Diceros bicornis minor: one gene and its partners. The protein of the gene in region 1 binds, or shares a complex with, the protein of each later gene. Links are inferred from orthologs where the notes say so. Each region holds a gene or a part of one and is shown in the gene's direction. Other genes may lie near its edges.

Region 1 (7,609 bases):
CAGGCGTCACTCAAAGTTCTGCCTGATATTTGGGCATTATATAAGTGGAATCCCAGAAGGAAAACAGATGAACCATAGCTACACACAGCAACATGGATGTATCTCACAAATATCATATTGAATGAAATAAACCAGACCCAAAAGGAATGTGCCAGAACAATTTATTGAAAAAGAACAGCCTTTCCCTCTGTTCTTTGTCATGAATCAGCTGTTTTTATTTGTATTGGTCTGTTTGGGGCTCTCTAGTCTATTCTATTGGTCCATTTGTCTATCTTGTGTCCATGCCATGTTGTAGTAATTACTATCACTCTACTGTCTTATTACCCACTACAGCTTCCTTATTCCAATTTTTCAGAACTAGCTTGTCAAGTTCCACCAAACAAACAAGCAAATAAACAAACAAACCCTGTGGGAAGTTTGATTGGAAATGCATTAATCTGTAGATCAGTTTAGAGAGAATTAACATCTTTACAGTGTTGAAGATTCAACCCATGAATATGGTATAATCTTCATTTACTTAAGTTTTCTTTAGTTGCTCTCAGTGATGTTTTATAGTTTTCTAAGAATATGCCAAAATATTGATGCCCTCGATCTTTAGGGAGTCTGGGCAGAGCTTGGGGCAGCTGGCCCTAGGCAGGTCACCCTAGCCTTGTAATGCCTCATCTATTTACCCCGGTGAACTATACAACTCTTATCAATTTGTTTTGTGACGTGGAGGGGAAAGTATTGGGAAGCACTGGGAAGTCTTTCTAGTTTTCTGTTTCTGACCAGTTTTACAAAGCGCTGAGTTGTGAGTGGGCAAGCATGCCATCCACAATGCCCCAAACATCCTGAACTCCTGAGTCGCCCACTGTATACTTCTAGCCCGTTTATTTCCATGACTCTGTTGTACAATGTGTGCCCATGAATTATGAGGGCATAACTTGCAAAAACAATAATAACAATGTTATATACTGAGCATTTACCAGGTTCTGGGTGATTTACAAATGTTTTCTTACTTAAGTCTCCAAGAAATCCTATGAGCTTGTTATATTACCTGTGTTTTACAGATGAAAAAACTGGAGCTTTGAAAGGCAAAGTAGCTGCTAAGTGACAGAACTATTTCTGGAAACACGGCAGACTAGATAATCTGAAAACCCTCCCTCTACATAGTTCATAGAAATACTAGGTAAAATATATCAAACATTTTTTTCAAATAGATAGTTGAACTTGAAAGAAAGGAAAGAAATCTCTCAGGTCCAGAAGTGAAGAGAAAGCTGAAAACCGGTAACCAAGCAGGGTCACTTTGGCACAGGAGGTAAGACCCAGGAACTGATACCCTGCATAGAGCTGAGACTCTCTGAAGGCTACATTCTTAGTGAAAGGTGGGCTAAAAACCAGTCCTGCTGGCAAAAGGAGATTCATTTATTCACTCATCCATTCAGTAACATTTTTTGAAAGCTTGCTATAAGCTAGGCTTATATTCCAGGCACTTGGGACACAGCAAGAAAATAAATAGGCATGCCTGTTCCTGGGGAAATTATATTCTGAGAGACAGAGATAATAGAGAGACATAACATAATCCATAAACGTAATATATAAGTAAGATGAAGGGGGATATATTTATGAAAAAACAGAACAGGGAAAAACTGATCATGGGTAACAGGGAAACTATCTATCTTGGCCTGGACTCTGGGAAGAAAAAAACAGATCTCTCCTGGAAATTCCCAACCATAGCTCTGCTTTTAGGGGGAGGGGGGCTGAGGTTGTAACTGACATTAATTGTTTGCAAGATCTGGAAACACCAAGGCAAGCAACTAACACAAATTGGCTCCAAGTTTTTAGTGCCTCTCCTTGTCATTCTAGGGATATGGAGAAGGGCTGTTGGACAAAAACAAGAGAAAATCCTCCACCCAGGCTGCCAAGGGTTCCCATAGACAAAGCCCAGACAAACTTGAGCTCACAATAAAAAAATACAAAACTTATTGATGGCAGATTTAGGATTCAGTAGCTGTTTGATACCAAAGCCCATGCTCATAACTCTTACCTACATGCACCCAGGACTTATACTACACACTCTCATGGGGAAGGTTGTCTTAGGACCCATGGTATTTAGGATCACAGAATCTTAGAATTGGAAGGGATCCAAGAAATTGCCTACTCCAATCTCCCTCACAAAGCAGGACATCTTTCTGTAACATGACACAGAACACCACCAGCCTCTGCTTGAATACCTCTAGGGAAGGAGAGCACATTTTTTCCCTGGCTGGTGGGAAGCCTATCCTAGAGGCAAAACAACACTACCTAAGGAGACAGACAGGGTCCTTAATCCTTCTGAGCCAGGTGATCTTGGGCAGGATAATTACCCCCATGAATTAAGCTTTCTTATCTGTAAAATGGGAATATCATCTCATCGGGTCATGCTGAGGGTTAAATAGAATAATAGATATAAAGGCTTACCAGGCACACAATAAATAATGTCATTTTACCTTCTCACTAGTGTCTAGATCTAAGTAATCAACAAAAAGAGTTACTCTGCTTAGCATTAATCTGAGCAGATCTACTTATAGCCATGAGATTTTTTTAAATCCAAATTTTAGTGAGGGCTCATCTCATTCAGTTCAACATTCTGAAGCGTGGTACCTGAGGGTTACTATCAATATTCAATAAGGGCAGGATTACCTTTCGACCTAGTTCCCAGCACAGACATAGATGAAAAGAAGTTAGTCTTGTCAAGTTGCTGTTTTCTTGCTCAACCTGAGGGGTGACTCAAGGGTCACAAGGATTTATGAGCTTGTTTTACAGAAGAAATAGAATGCCTTCAAGGAAGTTACAGTCACCAGAAAAACAGCCCCCAGCTGCCACTGATGCCCAGAAGTCAGATTGCCCAATGGCTTATCTGGAGTGAAAGAAACCTGGGGTTACCCCTTTGTTTCTCCAAAACTCCTCCTGCCAAGCCCCTTAGCTCTATAAAACCCCCTGCTTTCTTGTCTTGTGAAGGTGAATTTGAGAGAACCTATCCTCTCGCCTTCTCATTTTGGCCAATTCGAATAAACCTTTCTCTATCTCCAAGCACCAGGTGTCTCCGTGATTGGCTTACTATATATCAGGCACATGGATTTGAGATTAAGAGGTTTGGTATCAATTTCACTGGGAAAGGGTTTTGTCATTTTTTAAAAAAAACAATTGCTCATTTCTATTTAATTTTGAATGAACACTGTCTCTGCATGTTAGGGCCTCTTCTATTTCCAGTCTGAAGGCTTGTGGCTGTTTGTTCCATCTGTGCTGGGATAAAGGGTGAGTCTGAGAAGCTTCTTGAATGAAGATTGACTTTGTTGTCATCCAAATTTTTTTATTTTAGAAGTTTCAAGAATAAATTTACTGACAGGCTCCTTAATTTAAAAATTAAGGTATTATTTACATGGAATATAATCCACATATTTTAGGTGATAGCTTGATGAAATTTGGTAATTGTAGTCAATTGCATAGCCATTCCCACACTTAAGATATAGAACAATTCCATCACCTTAAAGTTTCCCCTTTAGACCCCTGATTTGAAGACGGACATTGACCAATTGGCTGGCGTCCAGGGTGAGAAGTTTTGAAGTCATGGCATAGGCAGACCATGTTAAGGAATGAGGGGCATTCATGGAATCCCAGAGAAAAGAAGACTTATGGGGGATATAACAGCCTTCAAATATTTGAAGGGCTGCTCTGTAGAACAGCTCCAGAGGGAACCATTAGGACTTACAGGCAGAGGTGAGAGATATTTTGACTCAATATAAAAAAATTTCTAAAAAACAACTATTTATAGGTGATGAAGGCAAGTGAGACTCAGAGTTAAAAATAAATTACTCTAGATGCAACACCTGGAAGTGGCAGAGTCAGGCATTCTGATCTTGAATCCAGGTTTTCCCATTCTACACTTCTGCTTCAGAAGACATACAGGAGGCCCAAGGGACATAGTGTTAAGGTGGAGATGACCTGATCTGGGTTAGCGGCTCAGATGTTGGTCCCTTTTGACAATTTACCCTCTGGCTCGGGCCATGCCTTTGCTGGGGAGAGCCAAGGCCCAGCGAAGACGAGTGGCCCTTCCAGCGTGGGTGGAGGAAGGTGAGGCCACCCTGTCCTCAGCCTGTGGTCTCTTTGCCTCACTGCCTGGAGCAATCTCTTGCCCTGATTTCCAGTGTGGGCTGAGGATCCAGGTCAGTGAAAAGCCCAAGGCTAGGTCTGCCTGTGTGGGTGCTGCTGATAGGGATCAGCTGCTGCTCCTGTCTGGGATGAGGGGTGGAGCAGGGCACTGCTGAGGCAGCCAGCCGAGGAGCTTGTGGAAATGCATTCCACCTTCCCCGCTGGGCTTGCCTGAGAGGCTCTGAGTGTGTGGAAGGGGAAGACAATTGTCAGTAGGTTGGAGAATAGAAACAGAGCACCCTCAGTGAGATAGAGAGGAAAAAAGAGAGAGACAGAGAAGAGAGAGTGTGTAAGAAGAGGAAGGGAGCCTGGGAAATCATAGCAGGGGCTTTATGCTGAACTCCTAGGAAGCATGCGAGGAAGAATTCCCCGGTGGAGGAAAGGAAGGATGGGCACACGAGGAGCTTTGCTTCATTTACTGGGGCTTATTGGCCTGCTGACCTTCTACAGGGTGGGGGTTGCACAGGTTACTGCTCCCCAGGATGGCCTCAGTACATGAAGATACTTGGGTGATGACCCTCAGCCCTGACCTTGGGATGGGGACAGTGGAGGCTCTTAACGCATTGGGTGTTGGTTGGGTGTGACCAAGGTATTAGCCAAAGTGAAAGAACTGAGGAAGGCAAAGACATCTCCTCCCTGGCTGTCCTTCCCTCTTCTCTCCCCTCCTCTTCTCTGGGAGGAGCAGGCAAGCAGCGACATCCCACACAGTTAAGCAGGTGGGTCAGAGCATTGGGTTTGCTGAGCGTTTTTCAGGTTTGCCCAGCTCAGGGCCCACCCAGCTGGCAGAAAGCAGGACAGAGGTCACTTGAACTCAGACCACAAGTCCCTGTTAAATACATCAGCTTTTAAATCAATCTTTGTTCAAAGTCCACGGAGTTCCAAGACTAGAGCTCACCAGCAGAGAGAAAATTCCCGAGTGACCGGAGCAGCTCCTCTTCCCCCTAGATCCAGGTAAGGAGAGTCTCTGCATCCCCCTGACTGAGGGTGCTGGCCACCTGGGCCTGAACCACCTTCTTTCTTTTCCTTTTTCCTTTTCCAAGCAGTAGCTGGCTGTCCAGGGCCAAAGAGAGGCACATGGGGAAGGAGCCGGGCCTATTGGTGGTGGTGGTGGGGTGAGGGATTGTCTGTACTCTGAGATCCTTTCTGCTTGTGATGCCCCGACCCCTACAGGTTAGGGTCTGCTTTACAAAGGCAATGGTAAACTGAGCCTCGGAAAAAGCTTTCCCAGGGTTGCATGGGGGCTTGATGTGTAGCCAAGGAGAGTGAGATAACAGACTTCACAGGTCACCAGGAAGATACTCACAGGAACTTCCCACTAGGTCAGGGGTCTGGGTATTAGAGATTTTCTTTTGGAAGCAGCCCTTAAGGGATAAAATCTAATTTAACTTTCCCACTGGATAATAAAAGCAGGCATCTCTCCTCTTTTCATCATGTTATAGCACTAAGAAGTGAGGAAAAACCAGTGGATTTCTAGGCTGGCTGAATTTTAAAACATAGATCTCCAGGCTCTACACTTTGGAGTTTCTAATTCTTTGGGTCTTGTGTTGTTCTGAAAATCTTTGTTTTTTTAACATTCCCCCAGATGATTCTGGCAGGCAGGTTTGGGAAGCACTAGTAGCTTACTTCCTATACAGAAGAGTCCAGGGACTTAAATGTGACTTTCATGCTCAGCTCAGGAGACACCAGCTCAGGGCTGGGCTGGCTCCTCAAGAACAGTCCTCTTTAGCTGTCCCTGCAGTGTTGCACCGATGAGCTTGCAGTCTGTATTCAGACGTCATGGGGGCTGATTGTCTCAGGACATGGCTGTCTAGTTCCCTGGTCACATGTTCTTTTCTACAGCAAATAACTCAGGGACTTTGAGTTTGTGTGTTATGACTAAGTAAATTTTTCTTATCTTTGACTCTTTTGTATGTTATTTGAACCATTACCCATGAAGTTGCTAGTAATGATGTCTTATGTTCATGGACCACTGGCTAGACAGCTCCTTCCCATCCAGGGGAGAGGACACAGGACTAGAGTACAAAGAACCTGCATTTTGCTTTAGTTGTTAGTGACAGACCATTAGACAAGTCACTTAGCCAACTGGAGCCTCAATTTCATCATCTATCAAATGAAGGCCTCTCGTCTTTTCCCCAAGGCTGTACTGAAAATAAAATTACAAATATGGTGTGTTTGAGGGGATTAAAAGCACAAACATAAGGTGCTTACACTCAAATGTGTATATCCAAAGGCTTCATGGAAAAGTGGGAAGAAACAGCCTTGCAGTCAGTGGGGAGACCTTGTCCCAGTCTTTTCACCTCATCAAGCTTTTCTTTATTCACTGGTAAATAAAGAGTTGAGACTAGCTGATCACTAATGTCCTTTTCAGCCCACCAAGTATAAGGTGGATCCTGGAGTTTTCAAGGCTGCCTCCTCCTTGTCATTTGGGTATGAATTCAGATGTTACCTCCCCAAGAAGGGCTTCCTAAATCAGCCTCCCCCAACTCCACCACTATATTTCATCATTCATAGCCTTTATCATCAGAAATCATCTTGTTTGCTTTTTATTTGCCCCCTTTGCCAGATGTTTAGCTTTAAGAGAGCAGGGTTATTGTCCTTTGTGGTACCTGCTATAATCCCAGCTCTGAGGACAACACCTGACATAGAGTAGGTGCTTAGATATTTGGATAAATGGAAGTTAGTGTGGCAGGGCAGGAGCTGCAAGAATAGAATCGGGAGGTTTTGAGAAGCTGCTTTTAGGGAGAAGAGGCTGCAGAACTCTGATACTCTCTCAGGTCATCTGAGGTCTGGGTCTGATCATGTGGGAATGGGCATCTCTGGTCATGTCTTGGTTAAATGATTTTCATATCTGTTGCAAAGGAATTTGATGAGAGTAGCAAGTTAGAGCTAGACATGTTTTCTTCCAGATCTCAGTAACTCCTTTCCTTGGCTCTTCATGAGGGACTGCCCAGATTTCCTTAATCTCTTTGCCTGGTGTGTATCATGGCGAAGTGATTGAGGGCATGGGTATTGAAATTGGAAACCTGCCTTCTAGAGCAGGCATATTCTTAATCTCTAAGTCTCTATTTCCTCATTGGTCAAATGAGCATAATAGAACCTCGTTCCTAATGTTATGAGGATTAGATGCGAGACTGCACATAGTGCCTAGCACACCTTAAATATTACTGTTCTGGTGATCATCAGACAGCTTTGTGAGGGGCATAGCCCCAGGGAAGGAAAGAACCCAGGCAGTGACAAGGAGTTTTGATAAGTAGGAAAGATAGCCCCTAGCCTACTCAATGGCAGCTACCGAGGCTTTGCTCTTGGTCTGAGACAGCCTCCAGCTTCTGAGGCTGCAAGCCTCACATGACATGAAGCTCTTCTGCAATCCAAAGGATTGAGCTTAAGGTGCTTCACAGTCTAACCTGACCTTCTTCCTTGAACATACACCTACTCTCTG
Region 2 (7,660 bases), on another chromosome or scaffold:
TTCTTCGTTACCTATTTGGCTTCCTTTTATTCCTTTTTCTTGCCTAATTGCTCTGGCCAAAACTTTACTGGTGACATTTTTTGTTGTTGTTGTTTTCTGAAAATATCTTATTTTGTGTTATCTTTGAAATATATTTTTTATGGGTATAGGATTCCAGATTGGTAGTTACTTTTTCCAGCACATTGAAGATTTAATTCCACAGTCTTCTGGCTTCCACTGTAGGTGTTGAAAATATCAGCTGCCTAAGTGTCATTTCTTTGAAGATAATCTGTTTCCCCACTCCCAGCTATTTTTAATCATTTTTCTTTGTTTTTTATTTCTTGAAGTCTTATTACTAATAATCTAGGTGTGGATTTCTTTTTATTTATTTTGTTTGGAGTTCATAACGATTCTCAAATTGGTAGGTTGTTTTCTGTCATCACTTCAGGAAAATTGTCAAATACTTCCTCCGCTAGATTCTTTCTCTTCTCCCCTTCTGGGACTTTGATCAAACATATGGCAAACCTCACTGTATCCTCCATGTCTCTTAGCCTTCTACATCTTCATTCTGGATATTTTCTTCTGACCTGTCTTCCATTTCACAAACTCTCTTTAGCTGTAACTCTGCTTACAGATCCATCTGTTTAATTCTTAGTTTCAGTTGTTTTTCAGTGCTAGAATTTCTAGTTGCTTCTTTTTCATATACACTCTGTCAGTTTTTATAGTTTCCAGTTCTCTGCCCAAATTTCCAATCTTGTTTTTTATATCCTTGATCATAGTAAGCATAGTGATATTAAAATCTATGTCCAATAATTCCATCTGGAGCTCCCATGTGACTATTTCTGTGGCTTGTCATTTCTCTTGGCTCTTATTCCTAACATCTTGTCTCCTCACGTGCCTGATATCTGTGATTGTGTGCCAGACATTACATTTGAAAAATTGTCTGTGGAAATAATTTGAGATCTTCGGTGATGTTATCTTGTTCCAATAGGAATTCATTTGTTTCTATCAAGCACCGAGGGCACCAGCAATCAGGATTTCTTAATTTACTGTTAGGTATTAAGATTTCCTGGGCCACACAGATGACTTGAAGCTGGGTTGCAATCCCAGCATGGGCTGGTTTACCTCTGGTGTAGCTTTTTCAGAATCCCAACCCAAAGCAGGCTCTGGGCTCCAACTTCTGTCCTCTAGTCTGTGACACTATCACTCAGCTTCTCAGTCTCTTTTTCATGAACAGTCAAAGCTCCCAGAGCAAGAGGTCCCAAATGCAGGACTTAATTCACTGGATTTTGTTTTTATTCTCAAATTTCACCTGGTAATTCTTCATTACCTTCTTATTGCCTCAATATTTTTAAATATTTTGTTCACCTTCTTTAGTTTTTCTCAGCAGGTGGCTAGTCCAAATTACCTGCTCCACTGTTATTAGAAGTGGAAGTCTCTGCTATGCAAATTTAAGAGATTATTGTTAAACTCTCCTGACTACTTGTTTTGGGTTCCTTTGATGGAAAAAATGTGCACTAAACTCCCATTTATCTGGAATGATTAGAGACTATAGAAGAAATAAATTATGTTAAGCCAAAATTGCTTTGATTCGGCTTTGATTAAAACTAAAATCATAGGTCACAAGTTTTTTAGAGATAATTTTACAAAGCTATTGATGCAAATGCTTTTGAGAATGTAAAACACTGGGTTAAGCATTAGCCTTTATTTAGACAGTTGAAGAGAACTTTAAGCATATAAATATATATTCTGAATCTTGTCATAAATCTGAGTTTGTTTTTATCTGTTTACTGAAAAGGTACAAGGAGCTTTCTTTTCCTATAATATCAAAAGATTTGTTTGAATAGTTTCCTTGAGGTTATGAATGTTAGATATAGAAAGCCAAATTTTTTAGAATGTTTGTTGTAGAACCCTGTTCATTATATTTGTAAACAGTGTTTGTCATAGGAGATTGATTGTATTCACTGGCTTTGTGATAATTAACTTGTTGATTTTACCTCACTGATTTGTTGTAATTGATACAACTGGTATAAAAAGACTGTGAGGATTCCCTTAAAATTAGGAACATAATTAAAGCAATACCTTCTGGTAAAAATTTATTTTGTTTTACATATAAATTAAAGTGGCTCCAACAAATTCACTTAGAAATGCAATGCAGAGTGTCACTTTGCCACAACTGGGTATTCAGGCTAATGGGACATTCTTGTTTATTTTTATATTCTTGGTTTATTTTAACTTTGTTCAAATGTGGATCATCAAATTCCAAAAGATTAAATGATAATACTCTTAAAGTTTCCCTAAGCGCAGGAACACTTTAATGGGTGATGATTCAGAAGGCATCTGCACTGCTGGATATCACCCATCCCCTTATACTTGTCCAATAAATAGACAGCCCATGCTGGAACACTGGACGAATGGATCTCAGCTGGAACTGGAGGAAAAGATTGGAGGAAGTGGTATAAGCAAATGGCTCGGGAGTCTGACAGTGATTGAAATCTTGTCTCTACCCCTTACTAGCCTTGTAATCCTGGGTAAATTACTCTGATTCTCAGGGTCATCATCTGTAAATTGTGAGTAATGATGGTAGCCATCTCACAGGATCTTTTTGGGGCAAGAAGGTAAAGAACTGAGACTGTGATTATAAAGCACTTAGTACATTGAGAGCACATAATAAGTACTTAATAAATAATGACGGCTATTATTACCTGACTGGGATGTATTCAGCTGCCTGGGGGAATAAGGACAGCTCCAGAATTTCTGTTAGGAGGGGCTCAAGAGCAGTAATCACATTGGAAGGCAGGGCAGGACACTGCTTTTACATTGATTCTATGCTTAGTTGGAGAGAACGAGGAAGGATTTGAGATTTAGAGAGACTAGAGCACTTCCCCCATACTCCTCGGCATTGCTCCTATTCTGGCGATATTTAGGGGATTTCTTGCACTCCCCCCTCCCGTCCCAAGCAACTAACCAGCCAACAAATACAAGAGGCTGCTGCCAGGGCACTGGACTCCCGCAGGGAAGGAGAGAGAAGGACGCTGTGCTTTCCCGCTAAGAGCGTCGACTCCCTATTCCTACACCTCTGCTAGATACTACTTCTCCCCCTTCACTGATCCAGCGGAGAAAGCCCACTTAGATTGCACCCCAGCCCGGCTCCTCCTTGACTGCAGCCAATTCCCTTTCCTGGGAGAAGGGGGCATGATCCGTAGTTTTGTTGGCCACAGATAGGAGAGAGTGGTCCCCCGAGGGCATGCTGGTTTCCAGGACACCTCTGATCCCCCCAGGGACACCGCCCAGACTCCCCTGCAGCCTCCGCTGAGGCGGGGAGGACACACTGTCAGCACCAGCTCAGTTGGAGGATACACTCTGGCATCCAGAGCCTTGACCAGTCTCTCTTCCTCTTGCCCCTACACACTCTCCTTACTCCAGGACACGCTTCACCTGGGGCTCTGGAGGCCCACTCTCTCGATTGGAAATCCAGGCTTCAACTCTAGTTAGCTTGTGAGCTTGGGCAAGCTATTTTTCTGTGCCTAGTTTTCCCCACACCAAGACCGACTCCAAGGACTATTATTAATCTGGAGGGTTTAGCACAGATCCCGTGCATAGTAAACTCTCAAATAGCCCGAACCAGAAGAGACAAACCTATTAACTTGATCTAATTATATGTGAAAAGACCAGAGGTTCTAGTTAGTCTCAACACTGACACACTGAATAACCGTGGACAAGTTGCCCCCATCCGTCACATGATGGACTTCATTGATTTAAAAAACCCAGTGAACATTTATTGAGTGCTACTGTCTTCCAGACTCCTTCCCCGCAGGAGCTCACGGCTGCTGAGCGCACTCAGGGGTGGTGAGGGGCACTGAGCGCAGGCAGGCTTGTTTCACTCTGCTTTAGGGGCAGATGGAGAGCCAGAGACTCACTGGAAAATAGCATTTGAACAAGGCTTGAAGGATGCTTCACTTGAGTTTGCCTGGTAAATATTGGCGAGGCTGTTATGTTGCTGTCCCTTTCAAATTTGAGCATTCGCAGGGATTTGGTTCTGTAAGTCAGTCCACTTCTCCTTGCTGAGGTCACTGTGACCGACGGAGCCAGTGGAGCCGCATAAAGCAGGTTATGCCTCGTATTCCCCATTCGGGAACCCTGATCGCCTCGAACGCGCGCGACCAGGGGTCTGCTTCCCGGGGAGAGCAGGGACCGGCGGCGCTGGGAGAAGCTGCTCTTACAGGAGGGGCTCAGCCGGAGCGTGGCAGTGTTGGCCCTGCCCTTTAGTAGGGCATGCTCTGAAGGGTGCCCACCGCCAGGCTCCCCGAGCCTGAGGCGCCGCGCCACCCCAGCTCCAGGGGAGCGCTCCCGCTCCGGGACGGTTAGTTTTGCAGGGACCGGGTCTGCGCCACTCCACCGGGGGTCGCGCCAGTCACCAGGAAGCTGCCGTGGTGCTAGCGCGGAGTTCGGTAACCCGGCGCGCAGGCCCGCGTGCGCACGGTCACGTGGGCGGCGCGTGCCCCCGCACCCACGGGAGGAGGCGGGGAGGGGGCGGGGCCGGCGGCGCGGCCTCCCGTGAAGCCTCGCGCGGGGAAGGACCGGAACTCCGGGCGGGCGGCTTGTTGATAATATGGCGGCAGGAGCTGCCTGGGCATCTCGAGGAGGTGGTGGGGCCCAAACCCGGAAGAAGGGTCTCTTTTCCTGCTAGCGCGGCGGCCGCTGCGGACCCGGAAGTCCGGGCCGGTTACTGAATGAGGGGAGCCGGGCCCTCCCCGCGACAGTCCCCCCGCGCCCTCCGCCCCGACCCGGGCCCCGCCATGTCCTTCTTCCGGCGGAAAGGTAGCGGAAGGGGCGCCGGCGGGGAGCTAGGTTGGGCCTCAGGGGCGGCGGTGGGGCAGATGGGCCTTCTAGGGCTTGCTCCGGGGCGGCGGCGAGGCCCTCGGCCTCCGCGCAGACGCCCCCTGCGTGCCTCGCTCTGCGCCGGGACTCTGCAGGGAGGGCGACGGTGGCCCCCGCGCGAGGTCAGAGGGGAGTTGCCTCGCTGGTCCAGAAGTGTCTGCCGAAACCCGTCAAGTTAATGCCTGTTTGCGTGAAAACAGCTTTTCGGAGTTTGTGTGTGTGTACTGTGGATCGAGAACAAGGAAATTCCTTTAGTACCTTGTTACGGAAGTCTTTGACTTTTCAGAATATTGAGGGTTTTATGTCTAAAAGCAACACGTGAAAAAATTTTCTTTAACTAGTGCTATATTCCAGTTTCCCCTTTTTTGGGGGGTGGAGGGCAGGGTTCGGCTCTTCCTAAAATAACATTACTTAACTTATTGCGGAAAGTTCCCTAATGAAGAAGAATAGTACTTTTGATGACTTGGCAAGTTTACTAACTACTGGAACTCTATAAACAAATTACTTATATGTCTGATTTTCAGTTGTAATAGCTGCCCAGTTCTTTAGTAGAGGCAGCTTAATTTTGATCCTGCATAAGGTTGCATTTCATTGAAAATATATATCCAAAGTGAACAGGTGTGGGTCTTTTTGGATGAAAGTGGTTCTTTCAGTTCTTGTTGCTTCAGAGAAAATGTTACAGACAAAAACGGGTTTTGGAAAAAGCACTAAACTAAATCAGGGACTTGGGTTCACATGACAGCTCTGCTACTAACTCTGTAACCGGGGGCAGAAAAGTGTTAACCTACTTTTCTCTTCTCCCTCAACTGAGAATTAGATGATTTCTCAAGACCCTATTCAACTCTGACTGTGAGTTAAAGAATTCCTTTTAAGTACATACAGAGTTTTAGTAACTGATGTCAGGTGATGAGTGAATGAAAACAGTGCTGAATGAATGAAACCGGTAAAATGGTATGAAGAGGCTTTATTGGTAAAGTAACTTGGTAGAGTTAGTAGCTCACTAATTTGTTTGACAGCGTTGAAGTGTTAGTTGTTTTTTAGGTTTTTTTTTAAAGGGAAAAAAAGCATTCTATGTATAATGAGACAAATTGCGTGTTGCATAGTACACTGTTGTCTCTGTTCCACAAATAACTTTTGAATGTCTTCTGTTTGCCAGCCACTGTGCTAGGCCCTCAGTATTGAGCACTGAACAGGGCAAAGTCTCTGCACCCAGGGAGCTTATTGTCTGCAGGGGGAGACAGACAATGAATCAGTCTCTCTTTCTCTCTCTGTGTATGTGTCTCTGTTTGCAAATTGAGTAGCGTTATGAAAGTGATAACTTTTTTTTTAGAGAAGCAGCGTATTTCAGTTGGATGTTAGAGAAAGGTCTCAGCAGGTGACCTTGAAACTTAGAGCTGAAGGATCAGTAGGAGGTAACATTCAGAGGCCAGGGAAGAGCATTCTAGGCACAGGGAATAGCATGCTCCAAGGTCGTGAGGCAAGAAAGAGTTTGGTGCCCTTCAAGAAAGGAAAGAAGGCTGCTGTGACTCGGGCTCAGAGAGGTAGACAAGGATCAGGTGATTCAGAGCTTTATAGGCCATGGTTAGGTTTTATTCCAAGTGCAGAGACAATATTATTTAAACATTTTTAAAGAGGAGTGATTTGATCTTATTTTATGTTTTAAAAAGATCATTCTAGATGCTTTTTGGAGACTGGATGTGGCAATAATAGAAGCTGAAGATGGTCTTATTTAGGGATCCCATCGAGTCTTTAAATACCATTTTTAAATACCACCTATATGCTGATGACTACCAAATTTACATCTCCAGCTTGGATTCTCTCCCCTGAATCCAGACGGGTATATCCAACTGTTGGTCCACTTTATACTTCTACCTAATAGATATCTAATAGATAGTTATATCTGTTAATAGATATAGTAGACTATCTAATAGATGAATCTTTAACTTACTAGTATATCTAAAATTTAACTCTAGATTTAGTTCTCCTAAGCCTGTTCATCACTTTTTCTCATCTCAATAAATCGCATTTCTGGCCTTTTAATTACTCAGGCTAAAACTTGAGTACATTCTTGAACTTCTCTTTCTCTCCTCTGTATCTGATCCGTCAGCAAGTCTATTAGGTATACCCTAGAACATATCCAAATCCAACCACTTCTCACCATCCCTAACCATTAACACCCTGGTCTAGGCAGTCATCTCTATTTAGATTGAGTGGTTAAGGAAGTCCTCTGAGAGGATGTCATTCGAATCTCAGCTTAAATGTCAAGAGGAAGCCGGTTTTGTGAAAATCGAGGAAGCAGCATTATTTTGCTATAGCCTTCAATTTCGTTTCCCTTCTTCCATCCTTGACCCCATGGTATGTTTTCAAAACATATGCCACACCTCTATTCAGAGTCCTCAAGTGGCTTCCTGTAGTGGCCCTCCATAATCTCCTGCTCCCCTTCATCACTCTTCCATTTATATTGGCCTCCTTGTTGTCAAGTACATTCCCACCTTAGGGACTTTGCACATGTCCTCTCTGCCTAGAACCCTCTTCTCACAGATACCCACCTATTTTGCTCCCTCATGTCCTTCAAGTTTTTGATCAATTGGCATCTTAGTGAAGCTTTCTCTGACCATCCTATTTAAGATTGCAGTCCCTGGCCCCTGCACTCACCCCTGCCCCCCTTGCCTTACTTTCTCTACAGCATATATCACCATCTGCTTTACTTTGTATTTTATAATGCTGGAAGCTGATTTTTGTTCATGGCTGTATCCCCCTGTCTAGGTCAGTGCCTGGCATATAGTTAGGAATTTAGTAA
Region 3 (7,644 bases), on another chromosome or scaffold:
AGGAATTATTCATATATCATTCCTGTAATAATTACTTTAGTAATTTCCAATTTACTAAGAAATGAATCAAAATTAAGAATTCAAAGGGCCAGCCCGGTGGTGGTGTGGTTAAATTCACCTGCTCTGCTTTGGCACCCTGGGGTTTGCGGGTTCAGATCCCAGGCGCAGACCTACACACTGCTCATCAAGCCATGCTGTGGTAGCATCCCACATGCAAGCTAGAAGAAGATTGGCATAGATGTTAGCTCAGGGCCAGTCTTCCTCACCAAAAAAAAAAAAAAAGGAACTTAAGAATGAAAAATGCTGGGCAGTGGGGGTGGGCCAAGAGCTTAGCCCTACTAGCCTGAGGGTGCAATACTAGTTGGGGCAGTGATATTTCAGGCTGAGGCTATGTACATGTGCAGCAGAGACCAGCGATGCCTCAAGTTATTGACACACTCCTGATCAACCCTGAGGCCACATGCATGTGCACAGGATACTGAAAAAGGCCTGATAAGAAGTAAAATCTGGGAAGACTTGAAAACAGCCTGAACTTGGAATACACTCCCCTTCACATACAGGTCCATCAGCAAAGGACAAAGCCTCATTGGCTCAAGGTATTTGACCATAACCTCTGTCCAGTCTTTGACAACTTGGAGTAATACCTGCTACTTCACTTCCACCTCTCCAATCTCACTCAAGTTTTTCTGGCCTAGAACCGTACAGAGAAGATGATTCTGGGAAGCATAGTTCCTAGCTTAAAGTAAGTTGACAATAGCCAACCCTAAAACTGGAAACAACCCAAATGTCCATCAACAAAAGAATGGGGAAATAAATTGTGGCATAATTGTACAGTGCATTCTACCAACAATGGGAAAAAAAAAATCTTGTTACAGGCAATAACACAGATGAATCTCACAGATGTAGTGTTGAGTAACAGAAATCAAACACAGAGAATACAAATAGTATTATTCCACTTATGTGAAATTCAAAACAGGTGAAACAAATCTATGGTGATATAAGTTAGAATAGTGACTATCTTGGGGGAGGAGGGTTTGACTGGGAGACAGAAGGGAAGCAGTGAGTATTACTCTCTGAGGGACTTCCAGCACTGGGGTGCAAGAAATATATATATATATTTTTTATCTTATTTGGGTGATGGTTGTGTGAGTTACACATATGTAAAAAATAATGGAGTTTTACACTTAAGATTGTGCATTTTAAGTTTTATTTAATGTTAAAAGTCCACAAACAAAATCAACAGAAAAAATATTTGCCACATAGAAGCTTGCAGAGCATTAATATCAATAATATAGAAGAGCTCTTACAAACTTATGAGAAGGGGACAAACAACTCAACAAAAAAATGGGCAAAGGAAATGAATAGGCAGTTCCAAGAATTATAAGAACATATACTTTTGTCTTAGCAGTCTCACTTCTGGAAATTTATCCTACAGGTACCTGTGACTTGTATGGAAGATTATTATTGCAGTATTATTTATAACAGCAAAAAACTCAAAACAACCTGAATACGCATCCTTTTGTTACTGATTTTTGGAGTTACTGACAAAGTCTGGACACAAATCCTTTGAGAGGCATCTATAATATGAATATTTTCTCCCACTCTGTGAGTTGTCTTTTCACTCTTAATGGTGTCTTTTGGTGAACAAAAATTATTAATATTATTATTGTCCCACATATCAATTGTTTTTCTTTTATGGTTACCATATTTTATGTCTTGTTTAAGAAGTTGTGGCTTATTTCACAGCCATCAAGATGTTCTTATGTTTCCCTCTAAAAGCTTTATTTTTTTTAACTTTAACAAATCTGCAAGGTATATAGAATTGGTTATGTATGGTGTAAGATGAGGGTTAAAATAAGTTTTTTTCCATATGGATATCTGGATGGTGTTTATTTATTGAAAATACCATCATTTCCCCCACTGCACTGCAGTGTCACCTTTGTCACAAAAGATGCCTCAGTATTTGTGTGGATCTTTTCCTGCACTGTGTTCTGTTCCATTGGTTGCCTTATTTATCTTTATGTCGATTCCACTCTGTTATAATTACTGTAGCTTTGTAATAGGTCTTATGTTGGGTAATGCAAGTCTTCCACTGTTTTTCTTCAAGATTGCCTTTGTTAGTCTTGGTGTTTTCCATCTCCATATGACTTGAAAATCAACTTGTCATTTTCTATACTAACAAACCAGTTGGGATTTTGTGTTGAAACTATAGGTTGATTTGGGGAATGTTGACATCTTTACAATATGAGCTTTCCAAATCACGAGCATGGTATCCCTCTCCATTTATTTAGATATCCTTTAATTTCTTTCAATAACGTTTTATGGTGTTGAGTGTTGAGGTCTTAAACATCTTTCGTTAGATTTATTCCTAGGTATTTTTTATGCTATTATAGCTGGTATCTTTTTAAAAATTCCCTGTTCTATTTGTTTTTGCTGATATTTAAATACAATTTATTTTTGTGTGCTGATTTTACATTCATACACCTTGCTAAACACGTGTTCTCTTTTAATTTCATATTTACCTCTTCTGACTATATTAGTATCTGTCATTTTATAGCTTCAGTCTCCTTTCTGTACATGACTGTAAAATATCAATTTCTGCTGTCATAATCACTGAGGCCACAAATATTTTTTACTCTTACACTGATATTTTAGATTCTTCCATTTTCGTTATCTATTTTGTCTCTGAAAAAGGTTTGCTCATTTCTGTCTAGGAGTTGCTTTTTGATCTTTTCCCTTTCATCCTTCTATCTGATTTCAACTTGGCAAAATTGGTTGCCAAGAAGCATCTTGATATGATAGAAAGGGCTCTAGAATAGATCCCTCTAGAATATATATCATCCTAAATGACTCTTATCATCAAGGAAGCTTAGTTTACACAGGACAAGGTTAAGATTTCTTCCATCTCTGATATTTGATTCTATGAATGCTAGCATTGTATTGCCGTAATCAAAAGAAGAGTTTCATCTAAACAAAGGAGTATCAGAGAACCAATGCCAATACTCTAAAGTTTGGTATTTTGGGTACCTATGAACACAAATGAATTGGTGCATTGCACGCAGGTGCCATTCCATCTGCTCTGCCAGATCAAATGCTATCCTAGAGGTATAAGGCCAGAGCAAGGATAGCCACTGACAATTAGATCTTCAAGCCGTCTGTGCCTCTAGTGGTTATCTTGACTAGTAACTTCTAACTGTTCATTTGTTTTGCATCCAAAGTCACTAACCAAACTAGATCAGAAAGGGCATTACTTCCTGAAAGAATAACTACAGCTTAATCATTAATGCCACAGTCAGAAATGAAGCTGGACTCTTCTTTGGGTAAAGATTGATGGGAGAGAGGGGGGATGAGGGTGTAATAGAAGCTGGGAAGACATGGTCAAAGTCTGCGTTAGAGTTTAAGGAGGAAAGGGTAGAGTTTATCCTGGCCTTATTTGTCAATAAATTACTGAAATAGGTAGTGTAAGAAGTTTGTGAGGGATGAGTCATAATGTCTCTCTCATATTCTCAAATAAAATAATTCATTCTCCTGTTTTCTGACTTCCTTGTTGTTTTAGTCCTCATTTTTCTTACAGCTCTCTGGCCATTCTTTTCCTTTTTCTTTTGACTGACAGCTGAAAGGGCACCATACTCTTTTGTTCTTCTCTCACCTCTTTGACTTAGCAAAAATAATACTGTATGAGATGCACCTATCATCATCCTGCCTGTTCTTGTTCCTCCTCTGATAAGGACTAAGTATATTTCTGGAGTCATTTGGGAGTCCACCCACTGAAAATTAAGGAAATTGCTGTTTGTAATAGTACCTGGAAAATAACTGATTCATAATTTTTGTTCAAATTAAATTTTATTTATTAATGAAATGATAGATTCATCTTGAAGTGAGAAAGTGAAAACACAGGGAATGAATTTAGCAAAGGAGAAGAATGATTCCCAAATGTACATCACCAGCCCTTTCTCTCATTTTCTTTAGCCCCACCTCTTTAATTGCTTATAGGATATTTCTAGTTGGACTTTATTATGTTGAAAACCAAAATCAACATCTTTTCTATCTGACTAAATTAAATTTTATGATGACTTTCCCTCTTCAATGCATTTCAATTCCCCTACATTCCTACATTTCTCTTTGCATAGCCTCCATACCTGAATAATGACCGTAGGCATTACTGATGCTAATCTCGCTCATCTGTCATGGCATAGCAATTCTGGATCTGCTATTTACCAGCCATGTGACTTTCGACAATTTACTTAAGCTCTTGGGACATTAGTTCCCGTAAAATGGGGATAGTAGTAAGAATTAGAACATATATATATACATATATATACACACACACATTATATCTATATAGATATAATATATATGTAATACATAAATATTAACTTGCCCATAATAGGTGTTCAATAATTGGCTGCTATTGTTACCCTGAAATCAATTTTTTAATCTATGCTCCAGGCATTGTATTCTTAAATATGTTGTGCTCACTTGCAATCCTCCAGCATTTACTGGTCCCACCTTGTGATGTGTTGTTCTCACTTCCCCATGCTCTACCTTTTACATAATCATTCTTTTGAACTAGTCTCTGAGACGGAACCCTTTCTTTTCCTATAGCTTTCTGCTTTGCTCTGGGCTGCGCAGCTGCTGAAGCCCGACACCCACAGGGTTAAACCTAATTGCTGAAGCCACCCCCTCTTCCCCTCCCTGTCCCCCTTTTCACAGTAGGCTGGCAGCTGTCCCAACTGCCTACCGAAGCCAAATGCTTGAGGAGAGAGAGAGTAAGGAGCCAGCCATGAATCCTTTCCAGAAAAATGAGTCCAAAGAAACTCTTTTTTCACCTGTCTCCACTGAAGAGGTACCACCTCGACCCCCTAGCCTTCCAAAGAAGCCACCTCCGGTGAGTCCTCAGATTCAGTTCTGCCTCTGACAGGAACAGAATTGCTCTTCTGGTTCTCCTCCTTGGCCTCTGGAGCTTCAGGCTGAGCTGTATAAGGGTGTTAAAAACTATTCTTACTTGGAGTTAGGATTAACCTGAAAACAAAATCTGAATAGAAGTTTCCTTTACTTAGGAGAGGAAGCAGCAGGAAGAGGTAGTCAGAGTTCTTCAGTTCGGATCCAGGACTTTGCTGTATTTCATTGTATATTCTGAGTTTCTCTGGGGTGAAAAAAAAAGCAATTTGAATGTCCAGGGAAACTTGGCAAGCGCTCCTGTCTGGAGAACTGTGTGTGATTGTGCTTTCTTTACCAATATAAAAACTCAGCCCTTAGTTCCCCCTGTGCACAGAGTATATGCTGGATACCAAGAGAAGTTTTAGCATAGATCCAGTTTCTGTTACTATGTGTCCCAATTTACAGCGGGAGACAGGACAGAGAAGCAAAGAAGAAATAATAATGTTTTACATTATATACTTGTTAAAGCACTTCCAAATTCATTGTCTCATTTAATCCTTGTGTCAAAATCCTGTAAGTGGAGAGGATATAGTAACAATAGCCAGTATTTACCAAGTTCTTACTATGGGCAAAGAGGTGGTAGTATTCTATAGATAGCAGTTTCTTTGGAATAACAGAACTGAAACTTAAAGACAGGTGTAGTGACATGGCCAGGGTCAGTATGTTAACACAGCCAGTGATAGTGTTACATAACTAATGAAAGTGTGCTAACTAAACTCCAGGTTGCATGGTTCTCAAGCTGTGAGCTGGGAAGGTAGAAAGCTCAGTTCATTGTGTCTTTCAAGCAAGTTTTTATCATACATTAATATATATTAATATTTAAGAAGGTTTTATATATATATCCGTATGGGGAAAAGAATGAATACATTAATTTATTGCTTCTCTTTATTTATCTATTCATTTATTTATATCTCTTCTGGTCTCAAAGAATTTAAGGCTGCTTACAAAGGTGTATATACTTCTTTTGAATAAGAGGCAATAAAAATCTCATGATAAGATTTGACTGTCCCAAAGACAGATATCTCCATCCTTCTCTCATGTTAGTTGGGCTATCGTAATGGGTAGAAATTTGAAATAAAACATGATATTCCTTATATTCTGACTGATATAGTGTGTGAAATAGCATAGTCCTTTTAATGTCCAATATAATTAGCATGAAAATGTTATAGAATCTCTTTCATAGGAAGAGTGGACATTTAATTTTACAAGATTTAAGAACTCTCTGCCCAAGGTCAAGGTGATCAATTAGCTTCCCTTTCGGAACCTATAGTGGGCTCTCTGCCCGCTCCAGCATCCTCTGAATGGGAAGCCATCGTATTGCCAGGATTCTTCCCAGCATGGTGAACAGGGCAGATGGGGACAAGAGAGGTTAGTCCGCACAGTGAAGCTAAGCAGGATACCGGCATCTGAATGTAACTGCTTGGACATCAAGTTCTCCAGAGGCCAACTCTTTTTTCTGTTCCTAGAAATAAGTATGATTATTCTCTTGCCGAGAGCCCCAGGCTTTTCATTAGTAGTTGTGGGAAGATGAGCAGGTCCTGGTATCTCCAATCAAGGAATGTCTGAGCAGTTCCATGTTAAATAAATGAGGAACAAAGTTATATTCAAAATAGCTTCTATTACTCCTAAATCAGCAATGAAAGCACTTTTAGTGTGATAATAGCTGTTTCATGAAGAGTAGGGTCCATTGCTTCACGTTACCTATCATGGTGATTTAAAATAAATGATTTTTTCTGTTGTGGAGCAATCTACTGGTTTAAATAGGGAAAAACAGCTCACTCTTAAACCTTTTTGTTTCACAGAAAATCTGTGGCTCCAACTATCCACTGAGCATTGCCTTCATTGTGGTGAATGAATTCTGTGAGCGCTTTTCCTATTATGGCATGAAAGGTAATTTTGTGTCCCAGGGTCCTACTTTTCTCTGCTCACCCTCACCTCATGTTTGTAACAACCTGTTTACACTTATTTCCCTTATCCACTCTTTCTGCCCTCATCCAAATTGATCCTTTCCTTTGGCCAAGACTGCCAATGAATGCCTCATGGGATTTCACCTAGTAACTCATACAGGCCAAGAACAGAAAGGCCTACCAGAAACCAGAACACAGTCTGTGAGAATATAAGTGGGAAAACTCTCATCATCTGAGTTCCGCTCTTCATATCTGTTCCTGAGATCTATCAACTATATTGTTGCTGGGAAGGAGAAGAAAGGGATATTGGAAGCACCATGTTATCTTCATGAATGGGCTAAATGATGCTATGGGTACAAATAGACTAAAAGGAGGAGTATTGCATTTGTACATTAAGCATAGCCCCATTCACTCCCACAACTCCCATGGGCCCTGCTTCTACTGCCTGGCAGCCAACCCTCAGTCACTTCACCGATGGGAGTATTGAAGGTCAAGATCACCTTCAAAGACCAGAGATCAAATGTACTTCTCCATAAGTCACTTTAATGCCTTTTTTTTTTTTTTTTTTGTCTCCCTTTTTTCGCCTCAGCTGTATTGACCCTGTATTTCCTGTATTTCCTGCACTGGAATGAAGACACCTCCACATCTGTATACCACGCCTTCAGCAGCCTCTGTTATTTCACTCCCATCCTGGGAGCAGCCATTGCTGACTCATGGTTGGGAAAATTCAAGTAAGGAAGATGGGAAGCTTCGCAGATTAATTGTGCAGAGGTTATCACTTCTAGCCTCTTGCTTC

What was found.
Region 2: the proteins of PDZK1 (region 1) and AKAP10 are in contact, whole or in part, in a crystal structure (PDB 3TMH), measured with the Homo sapiens proteins. The link is inferred for Diceros bicornis minor from reciprocal best matches to the Homo sapiens genes PDZK1 and AKAP10. Residues at the interface, in NP_001188254.1 of Homo sapiens: Asn386, Gly387, Tyr388, Gly389, Phe390, His391, Leu392, Asn393, Ala394, Ile395, Arg396, Phe402, Lys404, Tyr436, Glu437, Val440, Ile443, Gln444; in NP_009133.2 of Homo sapiens: Pro655, Leu656, Glu657, Lys658, Ser659, Thr660, Lys661, Leu662.
Region 3: the proteins of PDZK1 (region 1) and SLC15A2 are in contact, whole or in part, in a crystal structure (PDB 6EZI), measured with the Homo sapiens proteins. The link is inferred for Diceros bicornis minor from reciprocal best matches to the Homo sapiens genes PDZK1 and SLC15A2. Residues at the interface, in NP_001188254.1 of Homo sapiens: Asn386, Gly387, Tyr388, Gly389, Phe390, His391, Leu392, Asn393, Ala394, Ile395, Arg396, Gln407, Tyr436, Glu437, Val440, Ile443, Gln444; in NP_066568.3 of Homo sapiens: Glu723, Thr724, Lys725, Lys726, Thr727, Lys728, Leu729.

The regions. Positions count from the first base shown.
Region 1 is NC_080743.1:53,251,887-53,259,495, reverse strand, and holds the start of PDZK1 (Na(+)/H(+) exchange regulatory cofactor NHE-RF3), read left to right. Parts: upstream 1-4,572; 5' UTR 4,573-5,121; intron 5,122-7,609. UniProt on the Homo sapiens protein: A scaffold protein that connects plasma membrane proteins and regulatory components, regulating their surface expression in epithelial cells apical domains.
Region 2 is NC_080757.1:3,134,276-3,141,935, forward strand, and holds the start of AKAP10 (A-kinase anchor protein 10, mitochondrial), read left to right. Parts: upstream 1-4,568; 5' UTR 4,569-4,712; coding exon 4,713-4,800; intron 4,801-7,660. UniProt on the Homo sapiens protein: Differentially targeted protein that binds to type I and II regulatory subunits of protein kinase A and anchors them to the mitochondria or the plasma membrane.
Region 3 is NC_080754.1:22,848,153-22,855,796, forward strand, and holds the start of SLC15A2 (solute carrier family 15 member 2), read left to right. Parts: upstream 1-4,588; 5' UTR 4,589-4,750; coding exon 4,751-4,888; intron 4,889-6,743; coding exon 6,744-6,831; intron 6,832-7,437; coding exon 7,438-7,579; intron 7,580-7,644. UniProt on the Homo sapiens protein: Proton-coupled amino-acid transporter that transports oligopeptides of 2 to 4 amino acids with a preference for dipeptides. Transports neutral and anionic dipeptides with a proton to peptide stoichiometry of 2:1 or 3:1.